Linked DNA regions of Lonchura striata. The main gene of each other region encodes a partner of the protein of the gene in region 3 in a complex. Links are inferred from orthologs where the notes say so. Each region holds a gene or a part of one and is shown on either strand. Other genes may lie near its edges. The genes, in order: GEMIN5, PRPF6, SNRPD3 and CWC22.

Evidence for each region.
Region 1: SNRPD3 (region 3) and GEMIN5 share a complex: the UniProt entries of both Homo sapiens proteins name them as parts of the SMN-Sm complex. The link is inferred for Lonchura striata from reciprocal best matches to the Homo sapiens genes SNRPD3 and GEMIN5.
Region 2: SNRPD3 (region 3) and PRPF6 share a complex: the UniProt entries of both Homo sapiens proteins name them as parts of the U4/U6-U5 tri-snRNP complex. The link is inferred for Lonchura striata from reciprocal best matches to the Homo sapiens genes SNRPD3 and PRPF6.
Region 4: SNRPD3 (region 3) and CWC22 share a complex: the UniProt entries of both Homo sapiens proteins name them as parts of the minor spliceosome. The link is inferred for Lonchura striata from reciprocal best matches to the Homo sapiens genes SNRPD3 and CWC22.

Annotation. Positions count from the first base shown.
Region 1 is NC_134617.1:5,092,689-5,100,572, forward strand, and holds the start of GEMIN5 (gem-associated protein 5), read left to right. Parts: upstream 1-4,540; coding exon 4,541-4,718; intron 4,719-4,863; coding exon 4,864-5,018; intron 5,019-6,279; coding exon 6,280-6,461; intron 6,462-6,793; coding exon 6,794-6,945; intron 6,946-7,157; coding exon 7,158-7,289; intron 7,290-7,741; coding exon 7,742-7,874; intron 7,875-7,884. Other genes in the region: MRPL22 (large ribosomal subunit protein uL22m), read right to left, coding at 40-109, 947-1,024, 1,335-1,400, 2,524-2,659, 3,846-3,891, 4,399-4,426. UniProt on the Homo sapiens protein: The SMN complex catalyzes the assembly of small nuclear ribonucleoproteins (snRNPs), the building blocks of the spliceosome, and thereby plays an important role in the splicing of cellular pre-mRNAs.
Region 2 is NC_134619.1:6,854,205-6,862,507, reverse strand, and holds the start of PRPF6 (pre-mRNA-processing factor 6), read left to right. Parts: upstream 1-4,983; 5' UTR 4,984-5,101; coding exon 5,102-5,172; intron 5,173-6,153; coding exon 6,154-6,322; intron 6,323-7,139; coding exon 7,140-7,258; intron 7,259-7,736; coding exon 7,737-7,815; intron 7,816-8,303. UniProt on the Homo sapiens protein: Involved in pre-mRNA splicing as component of the U4/U6-U5 tri-snRNP complex, one of the building blocks of the spliceosome.
Region 3 is NC_134620.1:3,928,279-3,935,718, forward strand, and holds the start of SNRPD3 (small nuclear ribonucleoprotein Sm D3), read right to left. Parts: upstream 3,240-7,440; 5' UTR 3,132-3,239; intron 2,682-3,131; 5' UTR 2,658-2,681; coding exon 2,532-2,657; intron 1,915-2,531; coding exon 1,722-1,914; intron 891-1,721; coding exon 829-890; 3' UTR 1-828. Other genes in the region: protein GUCD1, read left to right, coding at 3,484-3,520, 5,082-5,166, 6,626-6,791. UniProt on the Homo sapiens protein: Plays a role in pre-mRNA splicing as a core component of the spliceosomal U1, U2, U4 and U5 small nuclear ribonucleoproteins (snRNPs), the building blocks of the spliceosome.
Region 4 is NC_134610.1:23,609,803-23,617,525, forward strand, and holds the start of CWC22 (pre-mRNA-splicing factor CWC22 homolog), read right to left. Parts: upstream 3,238-7,723; 5' UTR 3,168-3,237; intron 2,773-3,167; 5' UTR 2,688-2,772; coding exon 2,661-2,687; intron 29-2,660; coding exon 1-28. UniProt on the Homo sapiens protein: Required for pre-mRNA splicing as component of the spliceosome. As a component of the minor spliceosome, involved in the splicing of U12-type introns in pre-mRNAs. Promotes exon-junction complex (EJC) assembly.

The DNA.
Region 1 (7,884 bases), on a different chromosome or scaffold from region 3:
GATGACACTTTTCTAATGCACTAAATTTAAAAAACGTACCTATGTGTAAGTTTGATTTGAATTCCACATTGTGCTTTCTTACAGCCATTTCCTGTGCTTCTAACAGAACCTGTAAAAAAAGTTAAAGAAATGGAAATACTGAGGAGGAATTTAAAGAATGCTATTTCTTATCTCTAGATAACATGAAAGAAATTGCAAGTTTAAGTCAGTTACAGAAAAAGTATTTTATAAAGATAAAAACTGTTAAAAGACAAGCATCTTTTACATAAGGAAGCTTCCTGCATAGAATGAAAAAGCTTCAGGATGATTTTATTACATTTTTGGAGAGGAAAGGGAGTGGAAAAGATGTTTTCCACCAGCATTTGTCAGCCTTCTCTCCAGAGACCTTTGTGTAATTAGACATTTGACTAGACATAAATTCCAAAATGAACTTGGTCTATTCAATATTTTCAGCTAATACAGGACATTTCTTTGCCATAATTATACCAGAAATCAATGGTTCAGCCAAGAAAATGAGTAATTTGAGAATTCAAACTACCACAGTGTATTCAAAGCTTTTGTGCCTTTACAGAATTTAGTCGTCTCCTTAATAACGTCCTCCATCTCTTACAGTTTAAGAACCAAAGCACACAGATGTAGCAGCCATTAGTGACCAGGATTCTGCACCTTTTACCAGGAACTTAACACCAAGCACTGCTAGAGAGGACACCCACATGGAATTCATCACCATGACAAGTTAGAATAGCCAGCACAGGTGACCCCAACATATTCATAAGTCACAGCATCACCTGACTGCAACAAAACTGTGTTGTTAGAATGTGCTCCCAACAGGCTTCCTTGAAACACAAAAAGCCACAGAAGTAGAAGCACCTCCAAACTTATGGTAACAGATATTGATTTTCAAGTTTTCTGGAAACCAGGAGTGGTAAAGAATACTATTATTTACCTCTTTGATCACCTTTGCTCCCTTTTTGTCGCTGAATTCCAGCTGAGCAAGAGCCTGATCAATGGACATTCCTTTTATCTGCAATCAAAGTGGTAAAATTAACTTCTGCATTTACAAGTATTTCCTTTCTCTGATTCAGAAGACAATGCTTAAATTATACTGCCATTACAAAAACAAAAATACTGTCATTTCCTTAATTACCATTTCTTCAGTGTAATACCTGCTAAAGCAAAGTACAAACAGCCATTCCCTGTCCAGATCCATGCTCATCCCCAGGACTCTGCTATAAAGATGCTGATTAAACTGTGATTGAATGAGGCTCTTAAGACAAATACAGCAATTAAATTTTGCATTCTCTCAAGTAGAGCACAAAGTACTCTTTGCTTACCAGTTTTGCCAGATACCACATCTTATCTTTGCTGTATTTTATTTCCCTCCGACAGTGATATATTTCCTAGGGGCAAAAGGAAGTTAAAGGATGAGTAATTTTGCTGTGGAAACAGGAATGGAGCATCCATGTCTGCTCCACAATCTATTTTCTTACTAGGAATAAAATAAGAATGGCTCTGCCTACTATGAGAACAGCACATCAGGCATAGCTTTGATATTTGAAACTAATTGCACTAAAAAAAGGTATGGACACACAGGAAATTTTAATTTAATCTTATAACAGTTTATAAGCAGAAGTCCCTGAAAATGATAATCAAAAGGTTTATCACCATCTTTTCCTCTCATTCTCCCCACTTTAGAAGCAAAGCCTTCATTCAGCCTTAAAAATATTACCCTGCTGTCAACTCAACTTACTGGGAGAGCAAATTAACAATATTACCAGAATGAACTTAATTAGCTCTCGAGAAGTGAAGAGGGTTTCAAGTTTGATTAGCACAAAGAGCTGCCTCCACAGACCCATTTAACATTACTGCTAGCAGGGACCAGCACCAGCTGGTAGAATCCAACATCAATGCAAATGTGAAAGAGATGGAACTCTTGATAATCGGGTAAAACACTGATTTAATAAACAAGTCTGTCAATAGCTGCATTTTCACACACACTGCATCACTCCACAGCAGGGATTTCTATGTCCTAGGCCACAATGTTCACAAAAGCAATCAATAAATGCTCATGGCTCACAAAATACATGCCTAAAAAACCTCATTTCTTTTCAGATATAAATACTTTTACTTTGCTGAGCAGTGTGTCTAACGGAAGACACAACACATCCATTCCTAATGAAGAAAAATGCTAACAGTGGAATTCCAGAATATCAGCTCTTGACAGTACAATTTAGACCTCCTTGTAGTTCAGAAACTTCTACAGACAGAGGATGGGCCCCTCACAGCTTGAACCACACACTGAGAAGGTGATCAGCTCCCAGGAACTCAAGGCTCCAATGCAATTTAGAGATGGAGAGCATTCCAAGTGGTATCAACTTGTACAACACAGCCAAACTGATAAAATAAAATCCCAAATAATGAGCAAACAAGCTTTCAAACTAGTGCCATGTTCAGTCACCCTGTGCAGACAGTGACAATCTGCTCAACATTCTCAGGTGAGGGCATTCACAGGTGCATCCTTACAGCTGGTCTGCGAGGCTCTCCAGGCAGCTGGGGAGGGTAAACAATCCTGTTCTTCTTCTCCCACTTCCCAATTTTCTGCAGAGATGTGCTGGTGTGGATGCATGACAGAGGAAAGAGACTTCCCGATGCCAGCCACCTGCAAGGCAAGACCACAGTCTCAGCTGCTGAACACAAGGGTTCTTTGTCCCTGCCCAGTTTATCTGGAAAACTGTGAACTTGCTGTCTTGAAAAAGAGAACCAGCACATTTGTATACTCAAAAAATCAAACTATTAAATCCTTTATAGTTTATGCTGGAAAGGCTTTTTAATTCAGCAAGAAGACTCAAGCTTCTTAAAGGAAACCATGAATGTTGGTGTGAGATTCCACATGAAGTGTCCTCAGACTGTCACACAAAGTCACAGCCACCTCTGTTCTGATGCTCTTGTGGGGTTCAGAACTCTCACAAACCATTTTTACCTTTCCCAAGGTACTTTCCATACTTATTTAACTTTTACCAACAACATATTTAGCAGTGAAAATTTCTAGCTTTTCACAGGGCTCTGTATCTCAGAGCATTAGAGGTTTATAAACATTGTGACATTTGAGAAGAGAGGTGTTCTAAACTACTTCCGAAGCACAATTACGTCAATCCAAAAACCAGGGAGCTGATAGCAATAAATCAATTTTCAGGCAGTTTGCTCAGCTCAGATTCTGAAAAACCGAGCTACATTTTGCCCCCTGCTGCCTGGACAAAGCAGCAGTGGGCAGCCACTGGTGACTACAAGAAACAGAAGAGTTCCAGACTAAACACTGTGAGTTTTACTGAGCCTTGAATGTCTTGGTGTGTGTGGCCGTGTGCAAAGCATCTTAAAAACAACAGGCAAACAGAGTATGCCAAAAGGGCAGTGTACAGCATTGTTCACAATAATATGTGAGCAGAAATTAGCACAACACACATATTTCAATGTCATGGAATATTTCTTCAGGTATTTGCAGGGATGCAGCTGGCAATTCCAGTGCTCCTACAGCACAACTATGGGGTTCCTCCAGAATGAGGGGAAACTTCAGCAAGTGAGGAAAGCAGTGACTGGGAACAGCACAGATATCACATTACTGTGACCTGAACTATGGAGTCAGAGAAAATAGGGATGTCCAACAGAAAGAAGCGAGGAGAGAGACGCCTCCATCGTGGCACAAGCTCTGAATACACAGAAACATGGCACAGGGACAGAGTTCCTACAGCTCCAGGGCTGGGTGGGATGGCCAAGCCAGGGGACCCCAGAGCCCAGCCCCAAGCAGGGCAATGCCAGTCCCACTGCCAGGGTGACAGAGCCAGACTCACCTCTCTGGCCGTGCCCAGCTGAGGAGACCTCGTGCCCAGGCAGCACCTGAAGGGAAGGGAAAGTGAAGGAGGCATGAACAGAATGGTAAAACCACAGTATGGTTTGGGCTGGAAGAGACCTTGAAGACCACCCAGTTGCACCCCGTGCCATGGCAGGGACAGCTCTCCCATCCAGCCTGGCCCTGGGCACTTGGAGAGTTCCAGGGGCAGCCCCAGCTGCTCTGGGAAACCCGTGCCAGGGCCTCAGCACCCTCACAGGGAACAATTTGTTCATAATATCTAACCTAAACCTACTCGCTGCCAGTTTGAAGCCATCCCCCTCATCCCGTCACCCCAGGCGCTGTAAATATCCCACTCCATCACTCCTGCACGCTCCCTTCACACACTGTAAGGCTGCAACTTGGTCACCCCCAAGCCTCTCTTCTCCAAGCTGAACAACCCCAATTCTCCCAGCCTTTCCTCACACGAAAGCTGCTCCATCCCTCCGCTCAACCCGGCGGCCTCGTCTGCAGCGAGACCGTCCCGGAGCGGCGCCGCGTCCCCTCCGCCTCACCCGCGCCCAGCGCCCAGCGCGCCGCCATCTCCCCGGCCTCGCTTGGCGGCAGGGGCGCGGCTTGCGACACTTTGCGGCGGCGTGCGCGGCGCTTGGCGGCAGCGCCCGGAGCACGAGGGGCGGCCGGAGGGGAGCGGGGCCCATGGCGGCGGGGACGGGGACGGGGACGGGGATGGGAGTGCGGGCGCTCCCCGCCTCCCCCAACTGGTACAGCAGCCGCTGCAGCGATGCCAGCAGTGACGGCCGCCTCTTCGGCTTCGCGGCGAGGCACCGCGTCTGCCTGCTGGATGTGGCCGCCGCCGCCGCGCCCGCGTTCCACGGTACCGTCACAGCCTCCCCGGGCCCCGCGCCCGCAGGGGCTGCGGGGCCTCCCCGCCAGCGGGAACCGGGGTGGGCGGGCGGGATGCGGGAGTGTGGGCAGGCCCCGGGTGCCCCGTGACGATTGCTCCTCGCCCTCGCTGCCAGGGGAGCTCATCGGGCACACGGACAGGATCTCCGGCTTCGCCTTCTGCCACTGCCCCGGGCAGAGCAGCCTCTGCGCCAGCAGCTCGGATGACGGCAGCGTCAAGGTCTGGGACAGCGGGACCCTGTCGCCGGTGCTGGAGTACAGCCTGCACCAGGTGGGGACACGGGACACGGGCACGGGGACAGAGGACACGGGCACGGGGATACAGGACACGGGACACAAGACATGGGGACACGGGCACGGGGACAGAGGACACGGGACACAGGACACGGGCACGGGGATACAGGACACGGGACACAGGACACGGGCACGGGGATACAGGACACGGGCACGGGGACAGAGGACACGGGACACAGGACACGGGCACGGGGATACAGGACACGGGACACAAGACATGGGGACACGGGCACGGGGACAGAGGACACGGGACACAGGACACGGGACACAGGGCTCGCACTCGGAGCACGGCGAGGCTGCTTTGCCCAGAAGGGAGCTTCACGCAGGTGTGATGGAACCTGTTTGGCGCTCCTGGCCGCCTCTTTGTTCGTAGCCTGCGGCGCTGCTCATCCCCGTCGTTCGCTGCTGCTTGCCAGCACAGCTCGTGCTTTGGGCTCACTGCCTTTTAACCCTGTGGGGATTCTGAAAATTCCCACAAATTGTACTGGTTTTGGACAAGTTGCAAAAGTCAGGCCTCAGAGGCAGCAGAGCTGCGATTTTAGCTAAGCAGTAGACATAAGATTTGTCAGCAGAAAAATTATACAAGAAGTAGAAAGTAGGGACAAATAGAACAATGGTAAGTGTATTAACACTTGACTAGAATAACTCCCTAAGTTATAGAAAAGTATATTTAACGGGATATTAGGAAGTTCTAAGCTTAATAATGGAGCTCTGTGCATTGTATCTTAAGGCTTACAAGTAGGTATTGTATTCGAAATAAGCAAGCATTGTTTTAACCAATGGTATGTGTGCTTATAGTGGTTGTATAGAACTACTGTCAGTATGCTTTTGCTCTGTGTGAGTGGTCAAAAGGCTTTTAAATTAAGTTGTAATATTGAGTTCTTGGTCTGCTGCCTGGGATGTGAGCTGCTGGCATCTTCCCATTGTCATATCCATGTAATGAAGCTGATGCTGGAAAATAAACAGCTCGAGGTGCATTTGTTAGCAGTCCCAGCTCACCTAAAGTGATCTCAGTAAATTGCTGCGGCCACAGGACAGACTAAATGTGTATTTAAAGAGCTCCTGCAGCTCAGGGGTGCCCATCAGCAGCTACATCCATCTCTAAAACCTGGAAGAACAGAGGCACTCAGGGACACAGCACAGTGCTGCTGGGCACTACTCACAGATGACGTCCTGCCTGTTTCTCTGTGTTCGGTGAAGTAAAACACCTTTAAACCTTCCCAATGCTCTTTCTTCAGAATGCCATCTCAGCACTTCACTGGTCCCCTCTTGTGAAAGATCTGATTGTGTCTGGTGATGAGAAAGGTGTCATTGTTTGTTACTGGTACAACAGAAGTGACAGCCAGCAGTTCTTCCCAGAGCCCAGGACAGTTTTCTGCCTCACCTGTTCTCCTCATCATGAAAACCTGGTGGCCATTGGGTAAATGCTCATTACTTAATGTTTTTTTTTCCCTTATGTCTTGTTTTCTACTCTTCTGCAAGAATTTAATTGTGAGGTTTTGCTACGTGGCTGAAAGGTAAATTTTAAGAGGTCTTGGTGGATGTTCTTTTAGTTTTGGAGTAAAACAAATTAGAAATAACTTTTAGATTAAAAAACCTGCAAAGGCAAAGAAATCTGTGAAAATGTAATGGTCCAGCCTGGCTTCTCTGTAATAGGGTGATAGTGACCCTGGAAAGAGCCTGAAAATCACCTTGGATATTATTCCACAAGCATCCAAGAATCTCTTTATTAATTTACATCTCTGCTTTCAGCTACAAGGATGGCATGGTGGTGATAATTGATATCAGCAGGAAGAGAGAAGTTGTGCACCGGCTGAGGGGCCATGAGGATGAAATCCATTGTCTGGCCTGGTGCCCTGTGCCTGGGGAAGAGAGGTTACCTGCTTGGCAGAATGAGCTTCAGGGTATGTGAACATGATTAACAACTTGTGGAGTATTTTTTAGTTCATGTAAGTGTCCTTCTAGAGGACTGAATTTTTTACAGAATGTTAGTAATTAGCTAAGCAACTGATAAGTTCAATAAAATATGTTCTGATATAAATCAATGTAATTTTCAGCTCATTTTTATGACACTTTGATTTTTAAAGCATAATGACATGACTTCAATGCTATTCAGCAGTTCCTTCAGAAGAAGGCAAGGTTCCAAATGGGGAGCTGACACAGGACACAGCCACGAGGAAAGGTTGTTACCTGGCCTCTGGAAGCAAGGATCAAACCATACGAATATGGAGCTCTACCAGAGGCAGGAGTAAGTAAGAGATAAACACTAACAAGATGTGGAATAGCTCCTGAACTACAAATTGCCTTTGGCCAGATTCTAAGCATGGAAGACTGTGGTCCAGAATACCAATATTTTATGAGGTTAATGCATTATCATGGAAATTATTTGATAACCACTGGTAAGATAGATAATAAGGATATCAGCTGTCACAGGTAGGATTGGGAGCACCATCTGGCTGCCTCCCATATTCCCATGATAAGATCTTGCTTTTCTTTTCCTTGCTTTATAATGTTGTTGAACTCAAGACAGTTTAGGCTGAAATTTTCCATGTCAAGTGTCTGCCTAAAGCTGATTATTTTGGAAAACTCACTTCAACCTTTGTTTGTGCTGAAAGCATGGGGAATGCAATTAAAGCTGCATGCTCCCAGGACTCCTCTGTCTGTTTGAGAATTTGGATGTGGTGCCTCCTGGTCCTGCAGGTGTGATGACTCTGAAGCTGCCACCCACCAAGAGGAGAGGTGGAGCCGTGGACCCGGCGGTCAAGGAGCGCATCTGGCTCACTGTCCACTGGCCTGTTGGCCACCCCTCAGACATCGTGTCCAGTGGCTTTGGGTAAGTGGGG
Region 2 (8,303 bases), on a different chromosome or scaffold from region 3:
GAGAGGTTTGGGGAACCGGAGAGGGCAAGGGACACTGGTTTTTAGGAAGGAGTCATGGATGGGAGTGCAGGACAGATGGAGAGAGTAGAAAGGATATGGAATAACAGAATTGGGAAGCAAATGGGAAACCTGGTGTTTTGGGGGATTTAGCAGGCCTTTACCTTCATCACCACTTCAACTTTACTTTTATCATCATCTTCACTTTCAGCTTACACCTTTGCCTTTGTCTTCACCTTCATCACCATCTTCACCTTCATTTTTGCCTTCACCTTCACCTTCACCTTCACTCCTTACCCTTCCCATGGTTGGAGCTTGCACCATCTTGGGTGGCAGGAACAAGTGAAAATCCCCCAAACCCAAGCCTGTTACTCTGGGTCAATGATGACCAGAGGCAGCAGCTTTGCTGTTGGCTCAGCTGTGGGAGATGAACCTGGAACAGTGGAGGGCAGGGCCAGGGATATGCTGCCCTTAGCACAGGGACTCTCCTCCCCCAGCTCACCCAGCAGCCCAAATCATTTGGCACCTTGGGAAATATTCATCCATCTGCCAGAGCTCTTGACTTTGGGCATTCCCAGATGAAAAGACAATTTTAAGGAATCCCATTTGGGCAGCATCATTAACATTCTGCTGGCAAGACACTGTGCCCTTGAGCTCTCTCCTACGTGGGGATTCTTCCCAGCAAACCTGCGGCTGACGCCAGCTCCACTCTCTGGATTGCTGAGAGTGTGAGCCTCGTGTTGAAGACCCTTTAGGAATCTCTGCTAATTGTCACTGAGACCTCCAATGGCTTGGAGGTGACACTCAAAGGCATTTCACTCCCTCCCAGCTGCTGTGGGATCTTGGCACCTGCTGCTGCTGCCTCTGGCAAAATTCCCACCACACACCAGAGCTCGGCTTGGGGTGCAGAGGGGGGCAGATGCTGCAGATGAGTCCTCAGAGTGCCTCTGTATAGTAGCATGGGACTAATTAAAACTTCAGAATGTATATTTACCTAATACGGAGTTGATTTGTTAAGTAGGACATCCTGTCTTCAGAGGATTTCACGGCATTGGGTGATAATCAAGTGAGAACAGGCTCCAAAAGTGTTAATTTAGGAACTGAGACAACAGGGATTAAAAATAAGCTCTGTTTTGTTCTTCTCTTGCACTTCCACATCTGAAATCCAAGTAATCATCCCATTTGGGACTGTAAAGCAATGGCACCACCACCCTGCAAGCATCACACTGGCTGAGGGTGCAAATGTGGGGCTTCAGTGGCCAAATTTGGGTTCTTTGCTCTCTGAGGGCTCAGCTGAGGGGCTCACACTGCTACAGGCATTCCTAGTGCCTCTGGGATGTCTGTCCCTGTGCCTGGCACTGGCACACAGGAAGGGGCTGGATTTCTGCTCAGGACTTGCAGGCAGGTGTTTTGCAACTGGGATTTTCGTAGAATCGTGGAACAATTTGGGTTGGAATGAACCTTTAAAGTCCATCCCATCTCATTCCAACCTTCTGGCTTTTGCAGGGACATCTTCCATTAAACCCGGGTGATCCAAACCCTGTCCAGCCTAACCTGGAAGACTTGCACGGATGGGGCATCCACAGCTTCCTGAACTAGTGTTTTACCACCCCTGCTGTAATAAAGTTTTCCTTATATTTAACCTAAATCTCCCCTCTTTTAGTTTAAAGCCGTTTCCCCTTCTCCTATTGCCAGAGGCAGGCAGCAGGAAACAGAACTTGGGAAGAGTCCCAGCGCTGATCCTGCCCTGCGGATGCATTCTTGCAGTGCTATGTGATATTTAAAAACACGAATTCCCAGCCTCGGGAGAGCCCCGGGGTTTGTTTTCCCGTTGTCCCGGGAGAAGCCGCCGCTGCCTCTGCTCTCCCCGGGGACACAGAGGCGGCTTTGTGTCACCGAGGGGCCGCAGCGCCCCGGCCCTGGGCTGGGCTGCTCCTTGCTGGGCTTTGGGCCGGACCCCGATCCCAGTCCCTGGCAGGATCTGCCTTGGTCAGCTCGTCCTTGCGCTCATCCAAGTGATTTTTTCTCACTTTCAAGCTTTCTGAATGATTCTGAACATTGATGTGCCCAGCATCCCCTCCCACCTCTTTTCCTCAGCCACACACACACAAACTGAGCTTGGAAAGTCCCAAAGCAGAAATGGGATGACTCTGTGCACCCAGGAGAGAGGAGTGACCTGCTGTGGGTGGTCTCACCCCTCTGGGGTTTTATTCCCTCCCCAAAAACACCACCGAGGGTGGTAAGCACTCTGCCAACATGCAGACACGACAGCAGCTCCCTGCAGGTTAAACTGCAGCATATTTGCAACTTTAACAGGGGCTGCTGCCCCTTCACCCCTGCAGATTTTGTTGCACCAGGGAGAAAACATCTTTTCTTCCTGCTTCACACCCTGCTTTAAGGTATTTCGTGAGCACAGAGCAATGCACAGGCCATTCCTTCCCACGTGGGGATGGACCACCTCCTGATCCTGATGATTCCAGGAGCAGCTGAGAGATTTCTCCCCACCTTGCTTCCCACCCTGCAACCCCCAGTTGCACTAATCAGAATAATTGCTGATTAATTACCCCATTGGGCTTTTGGCCATGTTCCTGCAGCAGCCCAGTGCCAGGCTTGGGTAGCAAAATGAAACACAAGGAAAAACCCATGGAGTGCCCAAAAGGTAGAGCTGGGCTGGAGAGGATGCCTGAGGGCTGGATCCTGAGCAGCTCATCCTGCTGTGCTCCAAGGGAAGGTCAGCCCAGAGCTGCCAGTGCCTCTGCTGCCCAGGCTTGGTGGGACACACAGCCAGTGCCCTCCCCTGCACTCACCAGGACATGCCAACCATCCCCAGAGATGATTAAAACTCATTTATGGTTGATTTTACTTAACCTAGAAATTATTCTGAGTTTTCTTGTTGTGTAAGAGTTACTGTGTAAAGAGAGAAGGTTTAGAGCCCAAGCACCAGCCCCATTCTGGGGTCACCCTGCTGCCATCCTTCACCTCAGCTCAGTTTTTCCAGGAGATTGTCCCAAAAGTGAAATTCCTGCAGCTTTCAGGGCCTCAGCAGAGACTGGACACTTCCCTGCTGTCCCCATCCATCCATGGGTCAGGGAGGCTCCCAATGGGCTCCTCTTAGTCCTTCATCCTCTAGCAGGATGGGGGAACCCAATTTACCTCCAAAACCCCCCAAATTTACCACACCCAGCCCACAGGGAAGACCCACTGGTGCTCCATGACGTTGGGTGTGCCAGAACATGGATGCAGCTCTGGGTATTCAGAGGGGTCCAAGATCACTGGACAGGCTGGGGAGTCAGGGGGTCCCACACCCCTCCCTGATGCTGAGGATGCTCCCATGGGCTCTGCCCTCACCCCAGGGTGAGCAGGAGAGCTGGGACACTGCAGCCTCCCTCCCTCTCTGCCACCCCAACTGTTTGGCAAAAGGCATTTTATTTTTCATTTATTTATTTATTTATTTTTCTCCAGCGAAAACCAAAAATAGATGGATGGGAAGTGGCTGGGGGTTGGGATGCCATTAGCATGCAAAATGGGGCTATTTATCTTCCCCGCAGCTGGGCTCTGCTCAGAGCTGGCAGGGAGCAGCAGCAGCAGGCAGGGCTGGGGCTGGGAGGGGGCTGCGGGACAGGGACAGTGCCAGGACAGCCCTGTCCCCTCCTCTGCCCTGTCACTGCCCTTGTCCTTGTGTTCTGTGACCCTGAGCCTCTCCCGAGGGACCTGCCAGCGCTCTGGCACGGCTGCACACGCTGGCAGGGTCACCTGGACACCTCACAGCTGGCAGCTGGCTCATCCTGAGATGTCTGCCCAGGGCTCCGGTTGGGGAAACTGAGGCAGGAGCTCCTGGGACACGCTCGGGAAGGAGGGATGAGCACAGGGCAGGGGCTGCACTTGTACCCCTCACCCCTGGGGTCCCTTGGCAGGGCCATCCCTGCTGTCACCACACAATAAAGTTGGAAGTGAGAGGCCCCTCAGAAGGAATGAGAAGAAATCCAGCTTTTGCTCCCAGAGATAATTTGGCTCGGAATTAGCAGGAGGAAAAGGGGGGAGGCAAAGCTCACACCTCGGGAAACAAGGGTGAGCAGATGGAGGCTTTGTCCTGCTCCAGCCCTCCTGGGATGATCCTGGCCCTTTTTCCCCCTTTTCTGCCCCATTCTGCCCGGGGGTTGTTAAACACAGCTTTGCTTCTCACAGGGCCGCACGCCACCTGGGATGTTCCTTAGTAGCTTCCTAATGACAATAAAAATAACGAATTGCTATAAATGTGAAACTCCATGACAGCAGAGCTCAACGTCCCTGTGAAAAATGCATGTTTTATGATTGGCTTTTCACAAGTATTACAATTAATATTATATGTGTAATGTTAGAAAGTTATGCTGTATAAATTCTCTTAAGTAGTGTGTTAAATATAGTTTTAGGTTCCAACATAATGTAAAAATAGAGACTACCTAAGTGGGGGGACTTTTTTTTTGGGGATGAGATGCTTGCTTCGAGGAACACCTAAATCTTCCAGAGAAAAGGAATTTATGGTTTTCTGATCAGAAGAAGCTAATTTCTTCAGGCCTTGCTCAGACTCGAAGACGCCTTGGGGATTAAAGGAAACAGTTGACATACAACGGACAGAGGTCTTGTTTTAAATAGAATGTATGCATAACCATGAAGGATATATGAATATACAACAAGTGTATTGGTTTAAGGGGGATTCCTTTGTTCACAAGGTATGCTTCTCATGACTGAGTGTCCCAGAGCAGCCGGACGTCCGTAATTCTTTGCTTTTTATTGTCTTGTAATTGTCCTAACTCTAAACCTTATTCCTCTAATTGTATTGCTATTTTTACAACCATTTTATTATTATTAAACTGTTAAAAAAATGTTAAAAACCAGGCGGTTGGCGGTTTTTCACAACCCCCACGCCCTTCGTCCCCGCCACCCTCATCGCCCTCAGCGCGCCTCAGCCCTCCGCGCCGCCAGGGGGCGCTGCTCCGGCGGGAGCGGAAGTGCCGCTCCGGCCTCGCGGCGCCACTTCCGCCGCCGCTTTCCCGGCCGCCTCTCCCGGCTCTGCTCCGCTCCCGCCCCGCTCTCGCCTCGCTGTCGCTTCGCCGCCACCGCCGTCATGAACAAGAAGAAGAAGCCGTTCCTGGGCATGCCCGCGCCCCTGGGCTACGTGCCGGGGCTGGGCCGCGGGTGAGACGCCGCCAGGCCTGGCCTGGCCCCCCCCGCCCCGCCGGTCCCTTCACAGCCCGGTCGCTCCGCCGGGCCTCGGGGCTCTCCCGAGCCCTTTCGCGGCCCGGCTGGGTCACACCTCCGTGCGCCGCTCGTCCCCGTCCCCTCGGGGTGGCCCGCGCGGCTTTTCAGTGTTGTCCCTTCCTGATGGCTCCCGTTCACTCTCTGGCTGGGCGGGGTTGTGTTAAAAAGCCAGCCTGGCTCCCAGGATGAGTTCCCGGGTGCTTCAGACCGGCAAAGGATTGTGTCCCTCCTGATTCTGTGACTGTGTGCGGGTGGGAGCGTCTGAAAAACGATCAAACCTGGGGGCTTTTATTGATGGAACAATGAGGGAGTTTGGTGGTGGCTGAGATAATTTTTAGGGTGTTGTTTGCTGGGTGTGAGTTGTGTTCATCCCCCCTGATTTCCTATTGCCTTCCCTGGGGAGATCCTGCTGGCTGTGCCCCTCGGGGTGCTGCCGGGCCAGTGTGGGGGTTCAGCTCCAGCTGCCTTTGCCCTGATCCCCAGCCTGTGGTGCCCCACAGCCTGCAGGGTCAGCTGAGAGATCCAGAGACAGAATTCAGAAAGGGGCTGTGCATGGGATGGGTGGCAGTGCTGTGAGCTGGGTGGTTGCAGTGTATTTGTGGGAAAAGTTCTCCCTATAAAAGGGTGCCTAGAGAAGCTGTGGCTGCCCCACCCCTGGAAGTGTCCGAGGTTGGATGGGGCTTGGAGCAATTAGTGGAAGGTGCTCCTGCCCATGGCAGGAGGTTGGAACGGGGTGAGCTCCTTCCAACCCAAACCATTCCATGATTCCAAGGCTGTTTTCCCTCTGGCTTTACGAAAGCTGGTCACGAGGAGCGCCTGATGCCGTTCTCCCAAAGGAATGATGTTTTCCCTGCCTGCCCTGAGCAGTGGCTGTGGCAGGCTGGGGTAGCAGTGAGCTGAGCAGGTTTATCCCTGCAGAGCCACGGGCTTCACCACGCGCTCTGACATCGGCCCTGCCCGCGATGCCAACGACCCCGTGGACGACCGGCACGCCCCGCCGGGCAAGAGAACCGTGGGCGACCAGATGAAGAAGAACCAGACCGCAGATGATGATGATGAGGATTTGAATGACACCAACTACGACGAGGTGAGGAGGTTTTCATCATCCTGCAGCTGTTTTTCCCCAGGTGGAAGAAGAGTCCTTGAGCTCTTCTGCTCTTGCTATGAGCCCTGCTCCTAGCTGAGGCTTCAAACCCAGAGTTTCCCGTAGTTTGCAGGCAGCATTTCCTTTTTTATTTATTGATTGAGACCTCAGTATGCACAGTGGCATGGTGCTTACAGATTCTTGTTGTGGCCTTGCTCCATGGATTGTGGTTTAATTGCTGATGCAGAGCCCTGAGAGTTTTTGGAAAATATCTATAAATAAAAATTAGTTTAAGTATTTCAGGTTTTTTTTTTTTATTCTTCACAAATGAAAGCTGATGTGCTTTGACAAGATTGGACTTGATGATCTTGGAGGTCTTTTCCAACCTAAATGACTCCGATTCTGTGCCATATATTGTCATTAAGTGGCCTGTATAGTCTCTTAAGTCCCACTTTGGTTGGTTGAATGTTGTGATACTATTTCTGCTTGCTTTCACTGGTGTAGAAAGTGGTTAAAGGAAGAGAATGGCTCTTCTATCCTGGGATCTCATTTATTGCTGAATAGAAGTGGTTTAGAGAAAGAAGCAATTTTGTAGCAGTTTTGCTTCAAATGGTGTGGGAGAATAAACACCACCATGGGATGGTGTTTATTTATCCTTCTGGAGGATGCTTTTATTTAGGGATGTGTTAATCTGATGCAATGTTGTCAGAAGCAGCCTGTGAATGCATTTTCAGGTGATTGTTGTTGCAGAAACATAACAGGAACTTAAAAAACCTGCCTTTTTTTCCTCTTTTTTTTCCCCTCTCTCTCCAATTTCCAGTTCAATGGCTATGCTGGGAGCCTGTTCTCAAGTGGCCCCTATGAAAAAGATGATGAAGAAGCAGATGCTATTTATGCAGCTTTGGACAAGAGGATGGATGAACGCAGGAAAGAAAGGAGGTAGGATAAGCTACAGCACTAGCAGGGGGTGTTTCCTGGTTAATTGAGGATGACAGGTATTTTGCACCACTTGCTTTGATAGTGGATGCCATTAAATTACTTCACTGTAGTTAATTAAGAGTCCCTGTAGTTCATTAAGATGGTGTGGGGAGATGCATCACAGACTGCACAGTAGATTGGAAATTGTTAGAGGAGTCACCTCATGCTTGTAAACAGTATGTGTTACTTGTTAAATTCACCTCTCATTAAGAGGAGGTCAGAGACTGAAGTTCACTTGGAGATGTCTGTTTTTACACTATAATACTGTCTTATTTGATAAAGGATCTCTTGTTGTAATGTTGATAATCTAAGATTGGAAAAAAATGCCCTTTTTTATGCCCTAACTCTTATCAAACACATTCTTCTGTTATGTGAACACTTTAATCAAAGTCTTGCCAAGTGCTGCTTTGAGCATGACCTCAGTATTCCTTTTCCTAAGGGAACAACGAGAAAAAGAGGAAATAGAAAAGTACCGTATGGAACGGCCCAAAATTCAACAGCAGTTCTCAGACTTGAAAGTAAGGAAAAAAATTAAATGTGACTTTTATGAGAAACAAGAGGTGGCTGTGTGTTCTTTTATGTGTGTTTGTTTTTTTGCTCAGATTTTGTGTATTGGCAAATGAGTACTTTGATATTCTCCAGATTAGAATTACTTTCTGTTGGAAGAGTAAACACTGGTCATGGGGATACACAAGGCAGTGAAATCTCTGCAGATTTTGATATTGGTAATTTTTGTTTTGTGCTTTGTGGAAGGTGCTACACTTCTGTCTTTGAGGGAAACTGATAATTTGTTGGCATTGCAGGAGTAGTTGAGCAGAATCTCCTGAATCTAAATCTTCTTTTAAGTAAAATGTATTGTTTAAGCTGTTGTCTAATGATTAGTAGTAAACCACTCAATGCTCCAGGCACTAGGATTAATCTGAATGTTTGTAGCACTGAATATAATAACAAAATTGATTTGGAATCTCAGTCTGGACTAAAACCAAATTCCCATTAAATGCATCTA
Region 3 (7,440 bases):
ACATTTGGCTTCCTGCAGATCAGCCAATCTATACACAACTGTCTATAGATAAGATCAAAAGCTGAAGTTGACAGTGAGTTTTGTTCAAAACATCACCATTTGGACTGAATTTAATGGACAGCTATTTATAAAACTTTCCTCACACACCTGCACTGCCTTTCAAATTGACAAAGCATTTCATCCTGGGAAATGGCGGTTTTATGTTCTGTCATCTTTTCCCAGACACAGGGAAAAACTAAGAAAGTCAGAACAGATTTTTTCACTGCAAATATAGATTCAGGCTATCAAAGTTGTGTGTTCCTAATGAAAAATTCTCCCTATATCCAAAGAGAAAGATAAAAAATGCAAGAATACAAATACAATATAGAGATTTGAAGATAAACCTCTATCTACTGTAGGCCTATATAAAGCTAAAGGACACAGTGCTCTGCTTCTCAGGAAGCAGCCTCTGTTTTGCTGTATTTTCCATAAATGCAGCTGCTAGTAAGACTTTATAATGTATGACCCAAAATTCTTCATTAAGAATGCCTTCTAATTCTTCAGAGAATAAATGACAGCAGGACTAAACAAGAAAAAGGAAACATAATGATCTTCAGAAATCAATGCATCACATAAAGTGGTCAAAACTAGATATAATAAAGTCCACTATTTTCCAAAGCTGGCTTGAGTTTGAAACCAACCTACAGTGTATTTGTCCAAGAATTGTCCTGTCAGGTAAGAGCAGACAAGTTTTTGTCAGAAACATTTATTAAACAAAGCTGATACTAACGTGCACACATAGTCAAGTTAACACCCCAAATACAAAAAGCAATTCGGCCGAGACCAAAATTATCTTCGCTTCTGGAAGATGTTGCCACGGCCCATACCACGGCCTCTTCCTCTTGCAGCCACTGAAGAAAGAAAACATCAGGGATGACATGAATTTGACATACCTGCACATTTATCTCAACAACTGACAAGCAAAATATCAACAGAACTCAAGGTCTCCTACTCAGAAGCAAGGAAATGCTCAGAAAGTGATGTGAAGAGCACAAAGCATTCTGTGATAAGAACCATAACCTAATGGTCCCACAGTCTGGCTCCTCAGGACAACTGCAGGTGATATTCAGACATCTCATGTTCCTTCTGACACACAAATCTGTGTCACCCCAGAGATTTGAAACCCCACACTCTTGCAAGGTTTTGCAACATGCAGTAAGTTACTCCCCCACATAAACGTTACTGCATGCTAACCAGGGACTTTGTGACTGCTACTCAACTACCTAACAACTAGACTGATCCCCTGAGAAAGGCACAAATGAGAGTGAACTACAGAAAAGGTAATAATTACAGCTTCCCAGCAGCTCAAGTACCATCTTTGTAACTAAAGCTGTTTTCCTACAACAGCTCAACAAGAACACCTGAATCCTTCCCTAAGCATTTCAAACAGCTGGTGGCCAAAGCTGCAGGAAAACAGAACTCTTAAATTTAACAGAAAGGCTCTGTTTAATAAGGCCACTCACTACCTCTAAATTACTGTAGCATCAATATTCATCACATCACATTCAGGTAATTGGGACAATTTGAGTCTTGACTCTCACTGTAAGATAAAATATACAGAAAAACACTGTATGAACCAGCAAGCTTTTCACTTCTTACTGCTTAATCTCCTCAGAGACAGAGATGAGTCTTCCAGTTCTACAGAAAAACAGGGGGAGGGATCATGAACAAACTGTACGTACCTTGAGCTTTGAGAATGGCTGCTTTCCCTCGCCCAGCTCCAGAGCCCTGGTTTTTATTCTTCATGCTCTTTAGCATAGGAGCATTCTTCAACATATCTGGTAAGATGAGAAACCGTATCTTGCTGCCCCTGATGTACACCTGCTCGAGCTGTGCCACCCGTCCATCTCTGTATGTCACTGTTATGTTGGACATCTGCAAGGTAAAAAATCAGTCAATGCTCAGACAGGCCTCACCTGTGACACAAGGCATCACGACCATTTAAACACACCCCATGCCTGCTGCCCAGGACTTTTGCTTTCTCACCAGTTTACAAATTAGCTTTATCAGTATCTATCATTTTTGTTTTCTTATATGCAAATAGTTTTAATAAAGCTATTCTAGTACTAACAATTGGGAAAGCATTCTAATGTCAATGATCACTTGCCTGAAATCAAAGTTAGGCCCTCTTGGAACGACTATAGTAATGTGCATTAAATAAGCTTTAGTTTCTTAAATCAAGGGGTTTTTTTATTCTTACACTCAGTGGCTTTAAGCAAAGAATTCTGGAAAAACACTGTTCACAGGACAGACTCTTAAAATCTCTGATCCTACTGACTGGGATGCCCAATCCTACTTTGAAATTGGAAATAAGCTCTGGCCTCTTTGAAGCATTCTGTAATGATGAATCCACTTCAACACGGTAAAAAACAGCACCAGTACAGTTTTTTTTTAATCCCAGAACTAAAAGCAACAGTCTTTTGATCAAGTTTTGAGCCTTCTGAGGCCCAGATAAGCCAACCTTCCCTCCATCCTTGTGAAACAAAAGATACCTGACAATTCATGTTGTCCTCAGCTTCGATAAGTTTGCCTCGATAAACTTCTCCTGTATTGGTCTCACAGGTCACGATGTGGCCCTCGGCCTCGTGCAGGACCTTGATGGGCACTCCAATCGACATGGCTGCAGTGCTGTGGCTCTACACCTGAGGCACAAGGAAATCAAAAGCTTTATTACAAAGAAAGATGTCGAATAAGGTCCAATTACACAATCCATCATCCCTTCCATTAGTGTAAAGCACCGATTTTTCTCACATTTATAACACAACATGCGTTTTGACTATGCACCAGTAACACTCCTCTAGAGACGTGCCCATCAAGACTCTAAACATCACCAGCCAGTCTTTTCCAGGTCTCTTCTGGGAAATTCACTTTTAGGGACCACAACACAAACCACTCGTACCTCCAAGGGAAGAGCCCCAGGCGGACCCCACAGCGGTACGGCCGCGCTGGGGGCGCGGCGCCAAGCACGGGGCCCCCCAGCCCTCCCGCTCCGGCCGGCCCCTCCGGGGCTGCTCCGCTCGGGCGCCTCCCCACAGCCAGCCCAGGGAGCCACGGAGCCCCGCGGGGAGCCGAGGCCGCCGCGCCGCACTCACCGCCCGCGCCGCTCCGCTAATGGCCTCCGCCGCCTCCCGGCCTGCTCCGCGCGCCGGAACCGGAACGCGGCGCTGGGGGCGGCGCGGCCCGTCCGCTGCCGCCCGGGGCCGGCCCGGCAGCCCCGCCGCGCCCCCGCTCCGCGGCAGGGCTGCGCGCCCCTCGCCCGCCGTGTCATGCCCCCGCCCGCCCGCACGCCCCGCCGCCCTCCTCGCCGCCACGGCGCGGGGCGAGCGCCCCGGGGCCCGGCCCCCCTCAGCCCCCGCCTCCGGGAGGAGCCAGCGCCGGGCCCCGGGGCCGCGCCGCCGGCTCGGCGGGGCCGGCAGTGAACGGGCGGCGGGTGCCGCCACCGCCATGAAGAGCCCCCGGGAGGCCGGCGAGCCGCCGCCAGGTCAGTGCGGGCCGCCCAGCCCCGCTCGGGCCGGCGGGGCCTCCGCGGGCAGGGGGCGGCGGGAGGCGGAGTCCGCCCGCGGAACGGGCCGGGGACAGCGCCCGGCGGGCGGCGGGTGCGGGCCCCGCCGAGCCGCGCTGCCCGCAGCAGCCGTGCGCAGTTACCGGCTCCGTCGGTAAGGTGGTGGCGGCGGGGAGCCGGCCAAGCGCAGAGGGGTTCGCAGGGTGGTTCGCAGGCAGGGCATAGACGGGCCGGTCTCCCGTGTCGGGACGGCAGCGAGCCATCGCCAAAGAGCTCTAGGTGTGCTGGGAAACAGGTGACTGGAAACTGGACGGCCAGGAAAACTTGTTATCGCTCTCTGAAGCTTTCACGTAGAAAACACGTAGCCCTTGGTTAATGTGGGACTTGGTAGAGGCCCTGGCTGTTTACAAAAAGGGGACAGATTCATAACATACTAAGAAGAAATTATGATAAAATAGTTGAGAAGTCCTGGTTTGAAGACAAATGGGAATTGGTTTTCTTTTCTTTTTTTTTGTTTTTTTTTTTTTTTTGTTACGATACTTGAGAACACCTTAAGCTAGATGAATTTAAAAGACTGAATATATCAATTGGTATGCTGTTCTTTAAAGTCATGATTAAACAGGGGCACAACTAGGAAAAATATAACAACGTTATCTAAAAAGTTCTATAAATAATATTACCCCAAAACTAAACAAATCCACGTGATATCAAATGCATTTTTATTCCCATCATAAAATCTAGAGGACCTTGTTAACCAAGCTTCTCGAAGGCCTTTTCTAGATCAAAGGTTATTGAGGAAAGCTCTTTGTGATTAACTTGTTTTGATCAATGCTGAAGTAGCAATGACAGATACAACTGTTCAAGTCCTGCTAGTGGTGAAACTGAAACCACCACATTGCCAGCTCCGTAAAAAGAAAAAACTTGAGGCAGAGGATGGAGCTTGTGTTTTGGGACTTTTTGGCAGAGTTTATTAATTTTCCCTCTCTACTGAGGTTTTGATGGAATTAACACAACTGGTACCACTTGTGAGTTTTGTTTAAATTCTGTAAATTACCATCCCTGAGAAAAAAGACATCTATAGAAAAGGTTTAAATCTGTGGGGCTTCTAAGAGATTCCTGCCCAGAGATCTTGGTGTGTTTTCTCCCAGTGTGGTTTAACTCCTCTTGTGGCACAGAAGTACAATCAGACAGAAAAGACCTGTGTCTTACCTGCTGTTATCCAGGAGAAGACACCGCTTCAGTTGAGGGGTGGTGGGTACATCACCTCACAAAAAAGAAAAAAGAAACTTCCAAGGGAAAAGGGGGTGGAAAGCCAGTGACCTAGGTATGGAACAATGAAGGAGTATGAGATTAAACCAAATGCTTACCTGTACAGAAATACTAACTGTATGTTCCCCTAAGGAAGAAAAAAATCCACCTGCCAGTCAGACAAAACCACATTCCTAAGTTTCCATGATTGTAGTGCTGAGAACAGGCTGACTTCATGGCATGGAAAAACATTCCTGTATGGATTGACATTGTTTGTGTTCTGCTCACACAGTTGACTGCATCCAGCTGAAAGTGCCAGTGATTCAGCAGCTGTACCACTGGGACTGTGGGCTGGCCTGCTCCAGGATGGTGCTTCAGTAAGTGGCTCTCTTACAGTGGGAAATCCCATTCCATGGGGAGGGGTAGCAGGAAACATCCCAGGGAGAAGAGGTGTGTTTGAAGCAGCCATGAGTTCAGTCTTAGGAGAGCAACAGTTTTTGAGGTACCCTTGGACAATGACAGCTGCTTGGGCCTGGCCCAGCTCTCCAGCAGGAGCAAGGGAAAACATAAACTGAAGTGAACTTTGGACTCCTTTGAATAATTGACTAATTACACAGATGCAGAATACCTAATCAGCTCTATGAACTTTGCAGGCTGGCATGCACAAGCACATAGAAAGTCTTGCCTCTTTTCTGTTGTTACAATTCAGAACCCATAGTTAGCTGTGACTCATCCGATTCCTTTTTGTATTTTCAAGTGATGGGTAGGTGTATCTCAGTTTATGAGTGTGTGCTGTACCTGTGCTACCTCTGTCCTGCTGAGCCCCAGCCTGTGGGATGAGTGTTTGTGTTCCAGGAGTAGTTTCAGCTTCAAAATTGTGTTGCCCTCTGGGGGTTTTTTGTTTATTTTTGTTTTTACCAGTTTTTGAACTAGTAGCTGTCCTGCTGAACTCCTCTTTCCTTCCACAGAGGAACATGAGCTTAGGTGCAGGAGAAATACCTATTTAGATGTCCACTTAGTAGATATGAAGCAGAAGATTTTCATTTCTCTCCATCCCTTCTGCCAAGACGTTAGTCCGTGTGCTGGTAATTTCCCATCTTGACTACTGTAACCTCTATTCCCTTTACCTCTTTGCCACTCCAGTCTGCCCAAAACTCAGCTTCCAAGATTAATCTTCTTACCCTGCTGATATGACCTTGTTTGCCCTGCATCCTCAGTTCCAGTTGCTTTTTATTTTTTATCATTTACTTCTATTTGTTTTCTTACTTTCAGAACTCCCTGTAACTACCTTGCCTGCCCCTTTGCAACCTGTGCCAAGCTTCCTCCTGACTTCCATCTCCCACTTTCTTCCTTTTGTGTCATCAGTGCCTAAGACAAGTTTACTTTGAATATTTACTGAGTTCCTTTATGGCTCCTCCTTTTAAAATCCATCTATTGTGTGAAGGAAGTTTTAGTCTTTAACTCTTCTTTCTCTGTTGGCTCTAATACACTTATACATTACACTGTAAACCCTTCAGGACAGAGTTCTATACCAGCTTGACTCTGGTACAGCACCTGTACACTTCTAGCACTCTAAAACAGTCAAGGCACCACACATTTCCAATTTTAAAAAGTCAGCAATAAATCTGGTTAAATATTCCCTATTCCCTTCCCTTAAATTTCTGTCTCCTTTGTGGGTTGGTTTGTTTTTGGGGCTTTTTTTTTTGTTTGTTACTTCTTAGCCAAGCCTGTTGTTTCAGTTTTTATGTGCTGTGATGTAGAGGCTTGGGCTACAGCACACATTTTGCTTCTTCTAAGATCTGTGCTTCTCTTCCCCTGCCTTTCTTGACGCTATAGGTACCTGAATCATTTGGACAATGATGAGTTTCAGAAAGCCATCCAGGAACTCCAGTTAACAAAGAGTATCTGGACTATTGACCTGGCCTACCTAATGCGGCACTTCGGAGTTAAGCATAAATTTTGCACCCAGACACTCGGAGTGGACAAGGGCTACAAAAATCAGGTCAGTATTCTCATCTACAGGGGGAGAGCAGGCAGCTTTAAAAACCTTGAGTGTCATGCTGTAAAAGCTCTGGTGTGTTACTGACAGTCAACCACAGTTAATTTGACCTACTGCCAAAACTGGCACAGATCTGTTCCAAAGGCAATACGATCCTGTATTGATTCCATCTTTTGAATTTTTAAAAAGTTTACATGTAGTGTTCATGAAAGGTTCCAGCCTATTTGACAGCCTTGGAGACTGAAGCCCTGTATTTATCTACAGCACAGGTACAGCCTGGGCAGCAGCAGTGTATAGCTTCCACATTTTCCCCATCACCGTGCCTCAGCCTTGACCTGGAAGATCCACCTCTAGAGGTGAGAGGGGAACTCAGCCTCCCATCACTGAGAGCTTGGCCTCTCCAGGACTGCCAACAAGGGGCCAAGGAGGGCCTGCAGCAGCAGTGACTTTAATGCAAGCTCCTGCCCAGTTTCCCCTGGGAAGCCAAACAGGCTTCTCTTATGTAGGCAGCTGAACAGCCACTGGATAGAAACTGCAACAGTAACTGACCAGGAGCAAATTTGATTTGTAATTCAGAGCAGAAATCCTTGTCCTGTTTCCAGTGAACTAAGGGAGAGATCTTTTATCCCATAGCCAGAGCTCCAACTTATGC
Region 4 (7,723 bases), on a different chromosome or scaffold from region 3:
TTTCCTTCCTGTCATGACTGGAACCATGCTTTAAGGAAAGAGAAAGAAAAAAAATCAAGCCACAACATGACTGTGAGCACTTCTCCTTAGATCAAAGCATACCATGCCTCAGTTCCCACTCTTTTACAAGAAGGGCCATCAATAAAGCTGACGGCAGTCAGGAGAGGTTCCTGCTTCTCTAGGAACAAGCAGTTAAGCAGCTAGACACCCTGCTACAGGATGCTGCACATGCCAAATGCTTCCACAGGTTCAAGGCATGGAATAAACACCAAAGAAAAATCCACAAGGGTTACTAAAAGACTTTATCTGGCTGAGGAAGCTGCAAACAGGTAGAGTGTGAGAGTATGCCGGCAAGTACTTTTATATATCCCTATTCCTAAACTCTCTAAGGCATCTGCTGTTAACTACTGCTGGAGACTAGAGTAGATGGACCACTGGTCTGCCTTTCCTGCTTCGTTTTTTCAGATGCCATTTTCATTTGTTGTATTACACGCAATACCATGAACAGAATTCCACCATTTCTTGTTTAAAGACTGTCTTTCCTCTCTCCTAAAAATTCCCTTTATTGAGTAATTTTTCCTTACATTCCCCCTTTTTACTAATCACAATTTATTTCCTCAAGAGTCATTCTTAGTTTCATACATTACAAACATCTGAGCTGCACTGATCTACTTGGCAGATTTGCAGAATTGTGTAAGTGATACACACTTAAACAGCTCACAACAAATTCCATGGGCTGAACCATGACATGAAGTATGGAGTAGAAAATCAGTACAAAAATCAGAAAGTGACAGCATCTACAGCAAACAGAAAGATATTCATTAACATGTTTCTAAACATTTGTAAACAGCAGCATTTGTAACCTGAGTACTTTCATTGGAAGGGTCACCTCTTTCTTTAAAATATTATTTATGATTTTTCAGAACCACAATCTCACAATGTCACAGAGTCATTATCTGTGAAACAGGGAACACCTCACATGATGCAGTAACTCAACAAAAGCATTTCCTTATGCACCTTGATGGAACTCCCTGTAGGAACACTCAGCTTGTTCGTTGAAGCAGCCTCCTCCCCACCAAAGAACCAATTAAAACTCTGGGTGACCAGAACATGACACCTCTTCCATAAAAAGCAGAGCAACTGCTATCTCCAAAAACTTAACTGGGAGGGTGTGTATATATGCAAAAAAAAAAATTGTTTTTTTGAGGCCACTATAACATATCCTGGAATATTGCCCTTCCAAGGGGGCAATTCAAATTGTTAAAATTACACCCAGAGTTCTGTTGCCTGCATAAAGGCCATGACACAAAACAAGGGCTTTGCACTGTCCACTGGCAGCATGCATCCCTATAGAAGTTATGTCCACCTGTGTCATTTTAGAGCCACATTACCTTCAACAGTGGACACAGTACAAAAAATTCACACATTCACCAAGGTTTTCTACCCCTTTGAATGGTCATTACAGCACACAGCAGATCACTGAATTCATTCAAGGGTAACAAGCGTCCTTGTTTCCTTTTCCCAACATAGTAATATATGCCAGTCTGAATCCTAAGCTTCCAAGAAAGCGGTAATAAAAATCTTTGAATACCACAAAATAGTTACTGTATTTAAATCCTATCTAGCAGATGGGAAGAAGGCAGTGGGTCTTTTTAAGGCTGATCCATTCCAATGGATTCTTTATCATGTGTCTCTGCCCAAGCAGAACCAAAGAGACAAATGTTCACAGAAATAAAACAATGTTATGGCTGTTTCTGTATTTGCCATTTATCACATCTCCTTGCAAAAGAAGCTATGCTTGCTGAAGAAATTGTCACCCTCAGCTCTTTGTGACCAGGTTTTCTGCCACAAGTTAGCCCTCTTCTTTATCCATTTTCATCAAAGTGATTAAGTGAAACTGTCCAAACAGTGTGCTTTTGCTAACTGGCTTGTTTTGACAGATGAGGGAGCGCTACCAGGTGGGGAGAACAGGAGAAGGTATTAAACTACCCCTCAAGCATCCCTACTAGAAGTCACTCAAGTCAGAAAAGATGGTCTAAAAGAGTGAAGAAGCCTATGCAGGTTCCAACTCTGGGCAAACAGGGAGAGTAATACCACAGATCTGAGTCAGGGCATCACAACAATATTGCTCTGTTAACATGTCTCAAAACTGGCATCCATTGCAAACAGCATTTCTAAACTTTTTCTTCTTGCATTCCCAAAAAAATCAACCCCATCCACTCAGAAGTGGGACACATAGCTATTAAAAGGAAAAGTTTTAACGTGCATAGTATGACATACAGTTGTCAAATTAACTGCAACTTATTGTTTCAATATCTTTTAAGATTGTTGTTAAATTTCTCAAAATCCTTCTCCACTCCTCTACATGCTTACACTTACTGTTGAGCCATCAGCATTCAGTCAGTTTTGACCAATTATTGTAACATTTTACACTAATAATATTCAGGACTTTAATTGCATGGACAACAGCAGCTAGTATATTACTAGTCAGTAATTTACTGACTCCTAGTAGTATTTATCTTGCAAACAACTTCTGTCTGTTACAGATATTACTTGCTTTGCACTCAGGAAGTTTTATTTAACATAATATCAACTACAAACCTAATTACCAGTGACATGGGAAGTATCAAATCTCACAATTTAGTTTTAAGAACACTTACATTTACTTGTGTCACCCTGCTCTTCATCTTGACTTCCTGCTTTTTACGAAGTTCTCAACGTGCAGCAACGAGGCAATCCAAGCTGGAGTTCAGCATATGAAAACCATTTCACCTGTAACACACGGAAGAAAATCAAAAGCTTTCGACTGCACAAGGTGCCGGAACACGCACCTTTATTTTGTCCTTTAAGGCTATGCTTACACAAGTCCTTAAACCCAAAGGCTCCCCCGGGTCTATTCCGATACGCTGCGGCCACACAGCGGCTGCACCGCCGCAGCCGGCCCCGAGCGAGCGAGCGGACAGGCCGCGGCCGGGGCTGCCGGGGCCCGGCCCACCGACCCCGAGCCCGGCTCCCGGCCCGGGCCCGTCCGCTCGCGGCGGGGGAGGCCGCGAACCCCGACCCGGAGCTCCCCCGGACCCCACGGGGATGGCGGGAAGGGACGGCCCGCCCAGCCCCGGCCCCGTTCCTGAACCCGGCCCCGTTCCTGAACCCGGCCCGGCCCGCACCTCCCGCCGCCGCCGCCGCGCGCGGCCCGCACACGTCACTTCCGGCAGCGCGAGGAGCGCGCGGCCGGCCCCACCCCAACATGGCGGCCGGAGGGCGGGGCCGCCTCAGTCGGAAAGGAGCGCGCTCGCCCTGCGTGCCAGACAAAAACTGCTGGGCTGGGCATCCTGGGGGAAAAGCCCTGCACGCACTGCAGTGCCGAGCGCTGCCGTGTTGGAACACCTGTATGCTGCAGGGTCTGTTTGGCCTCTGAAAGTTTGAAGTGATTCGGCGCCACGGATCCAGGCTAACAGAGAGCCTCTGGCTTATTGTAGGCACAAATGTGTTTGGATTTGGGAGAGTAATTAAATGCATAGAAACGGGATGAAAACAAAGGACAGTGCTACATAAGGTCTTGAAGTGCTTGTGGTTCGTTTCCATGCTGTGAAATGCAATGAGCTCCTCCGGGCCAGGGCGCCGCCGCACCTGTGGGACCCGCTGCTTCTCCAGGCGATGAACATGGAGCTTTCTCAGAGCTGGAAAATGCTACATTTCTTTCTTTTTGGAGGTTGTTAAGTCAACTTATCTATTCTATACAGAGCATTAGACTTCTTAATGTTTTGTCACATCATGTAATACGCCTGTAGCGCTATTTTCATTGTAACAGTTAGTACAGACTCAAATGCTCACTGTCCAAAAAAAACCAAAAAATCACAGCATAGTAAGGAGAGGATATGCATGATTGGACAGATCTGGTCAATGTGGTGCAGCAATTGAAGACTTAATCCCCAAGATTTAAATTATCTCGCTCTTCTGTCACTCAGAAGATCTCAGAAGAGTAAGAGAAAAGGAGCATCAGGCCATGACTGAGATTGTGCTATGTAGCACTTTAACTCAGAACCACTTTGGTTTAAACTAATCTACCAGTTCACGTTCCCCAGAATTTGAAGCATTCACAAAATGGGAGCAAACCTATTCTCCAACTTTTCCAAAGGCCATCAATGCCATTGTAACATTGTATATTGTCACAGAGACAAATATTCTGTGCTCAGGAGAGAATAGTTATTTTAAGTTACACATTCATAAAAGTCAACTTTCTCATTTATGTTGTAATACTAAGCAGAATAGTCAAGGCAGCAAAACACACCTTGCCAACATGGAAATGTTAAGAAACAACAATCAGAAAAAGTGAATTTTTTTTTCTGCTTATAACTTTTAGCTACAGGATTTGCTTTATTTGGCTTAATGATTTGCAAATGTGGCTCTTACACAGGAGACTGGAAACAGCATTTATTTGGACAGTTCTACACATTCTCACAATGTGAATTGTTAAATGCTTTCACACGCTATTCCCTGAACCCACTCCATGATTTCCCATTCTGTTGTGCAAGTAATCTTTTTCCTGCCTCACGCTGTGTAAACAGGTGTCACGAAATGAAAAGGCATATGGTGCCAGTGTGGCAGCAGCATCTCCTGAGGGGGACATCCTGTGGCTGGTGCCACACGTACCATCCCTCAGCCTGCCCCTCCAAATGCCCTGAGAAAGAGAGAGCATAGACAGCTGAGCTCTGCCTCAGAAGGAGCCTGAGGACAGAGATGGGAAATGTAAAGGTCTTTTTTGAGGTGCCTCCACCAGGAGACTACTGATAACCTCTGAAAAACATGTTTGTGATTTAAGATGGGCTGAATAACTGGGGTGACTTCAATTCTTCAGTTCTCTTCTTGGATGTGGAAAGCAGACAAGGGGCTGGGGCAATGGGATTCACTGAACAAGAGAAAGGGCATTAAGTGCTGAATAGCAGCAGTGAAGTGAGGTTTCCCTTTTCTCCTTTCATAAGTTAATGCTTTTACTATTGGATTATGCAGTGAAGCTCCCTTCTGCTCATTTCTTCCCTGCCCTGCTCATCTTACAGTCCTTTTTCTGCCATAGGTCACAGTTAGATTTTATTCCTCACCAGGTTAAAGAGAGAATTCTTAAATTTTACAGTGGGTCTAGTCCTGTGGTTTGGCAAAATGCTTTAAGAGATGCAAGTTTTAGTTCTGTGAGAGTGAAAAGACAAAGCTTGCACTTCCCAAGTGCTTTAAGGGGGTAGAATGCAGTGCAGGTTGAGTACCCCTGATCAGCCTTTTGGAATCTGCTGCACTCAAGATCCTAAATGTACAGAGTCTGAAGTAGAGACGTGACTGTGGGTTCCAGCTTCTAGAGAGTAAGAGGGATGCAGGTACATTCTCTTGCTTGGTGTGTCTTCCACAACTTCTTTCTCAGCATGTGGGACTCCTTACTTGCCTGGAAGGCACTCAGGTGAAGTAATCCAACTGAAGCAATCCTGATCACCCTGCAGCTGTGCAGCTACTCTGTGGGTGTAAGAGATGGTGAGGTTCTCTCATCTCTATCTCAGTCTGAAGTACATTACAGTTCGAATGGAGCATGATTTTGGAGTCTGGAAAAAAAATCCAAAGACAAAACCACACAAGAATTAACTCATGTTGAGTGGCTTTATGTGTATTTAGAACAGCAATAATCAACAAAGAATTCTTCACCTTAAGTAAGCATGATGATCAGGCTTTGAAATACAATAACACCCAATTCATACAAGTACCTAATGCTTCTGGAAAAACAGTGATAGCTGCTCCAATAGCTTATTCTGGTAACTGAGTCTTTGCAGTTAGTATTGCTTTATTAATTAATTTCAAAATGATGGATTGGACATTGGTTTCCTGCCTGCTTTATTAGGAGTAAGGAATTTATACACAGCTAATTCCCATCCAAGTTAATCAGTGTGACCTTTAGCATGCTGTAGAATTATAATCTTGTGCAAGGCTCAAAAATTGTTTCCAGATAGCTGCTGCAATGTGCCAGCTGCAGGATATTATTCCACACATCAGCTGAGATGAGAAATCTCATCCTCTGTGGTTTCAGTTTAAGGTCACATAAGTGAGGTGAGTCAGCAAAGGAGGCTGGAAACAACACAGCTGAACTTGTTCAGTAGCAGAGTGGATCAGGGACATGCAATCCCTACTCTACTGCTACTTTTTGTGTGGCAGGAGTTATTTCCAATGCAGAGTGTTAAGAAACAACATATAAGAGAGAAAGAAGAAAGCTCTTACATCACATAAACACCATTGTTTCAGAGGGATCCAATATCCGTGCTCTGCAGTCCCCTCACCATTACAGTTTAATAACTGCTGGAAGATCATGGGTTTACAATACTAAGAAATATCTCTTTTTGATACCTCAAATGTGTGACACTCATCACATTCCATCACAAAATTTGTTTTTCCCAAGAAAACACCAGCAGACTCCTGCAATGTGTTTTGAAACCTCATCAAAGTGAAGCTATCCCTCTGAGCTCAGTGGCAGGATGATCATATGTGGAACTTCCACACAGTTTCCTCTGTGTGAGAACACATCACATATGTTTGCTATTATTTTTAATGACAGTCTTTCAGCTGCTTCTCACAGTAATAAAAAAATCCACTCAGCTACTGTTTAAAGCACTTCCTGGTCTGTATCCTATAATCTGCCTTCTTTCAGTTTTGTGGCAATGCTCTTCTCCAACCAGCTTCTGGGACTGAAAACAATTCTTGTCCAGTCTAACCTTAAATTAATATACAGGGGAAGCAATTATTCAGAAAAGGAAAGCATAGTGAATGCAGATTGGCAAAAAAAAAAAAAAAAAAAATAAAGGTACATTTTTTGCAATGAGTTTTTGCTTGTTAATATAATTAATGTTTGTTTGTTTGAAGCCTTTCCTACAAAGTGGTATGGAGTGGAGCCAGACATAGTGCTGCAGACACAGGTCACTCTGGGCTGTGAACTGGTGTTTTCATGTCCTTAGTTTCACTTTGTCCTTACACACTGCAGAAGAATGTTGGTTCTTTTCCACAGTTTCAAGACTTCATCAAACCAAGGCATCATTCTACAGCCGGCACCCTGAATATCTGCCTAAAATTTCAGGGCTACACCATGAATTGAGCTATGTCATCATTTGGCAGCTTTAGATTATTTAGCAACTAAAATCCTTTTTTAGTAACTAAACCCCTTTCAATTTTGTTTTTACTCCTTTGTGCTGATTTTTTTTATCCTCTGTGAAGTATTTTTATATCTCCTGACCTTTAAGGAAAAAAATATCTCTGCTGTTCTGCAGAGCTAGGACAGTAGAACCCATGGTGGGGTCATGATGCTGAGTGCTAGAAGGTGTGTTTGTGCCTAGAAACCAGAGGACAGGCTAATGAATGCACTTTTCCTTCCTGAACTAACCTGGTGATTGTGTCACAATAATGCATGATACAGTAGGTAAAAGGAAAAAAAAATGCAGCGTCCTGTCCCTTCTGTCATTTTCCTCCTGCATTTTTACACTGATGTCATTGAGCAGAAGCAGCCACTCATGCCTTCAAATAAAGGACAAGTTAGTATAGCTGCTTCTCACTGCTGAACTGACATTTGGATGTCATGCTCATCTTTCATCTCTTCAACAATGCAGAGGGAAAGGTGATCTCTGACCAGAGCTGTTGGCTGCTCCCAGTGAATCTCAGGTGAGATTAAAGCACCAACACATGGTGGGTAGATGATACGCCA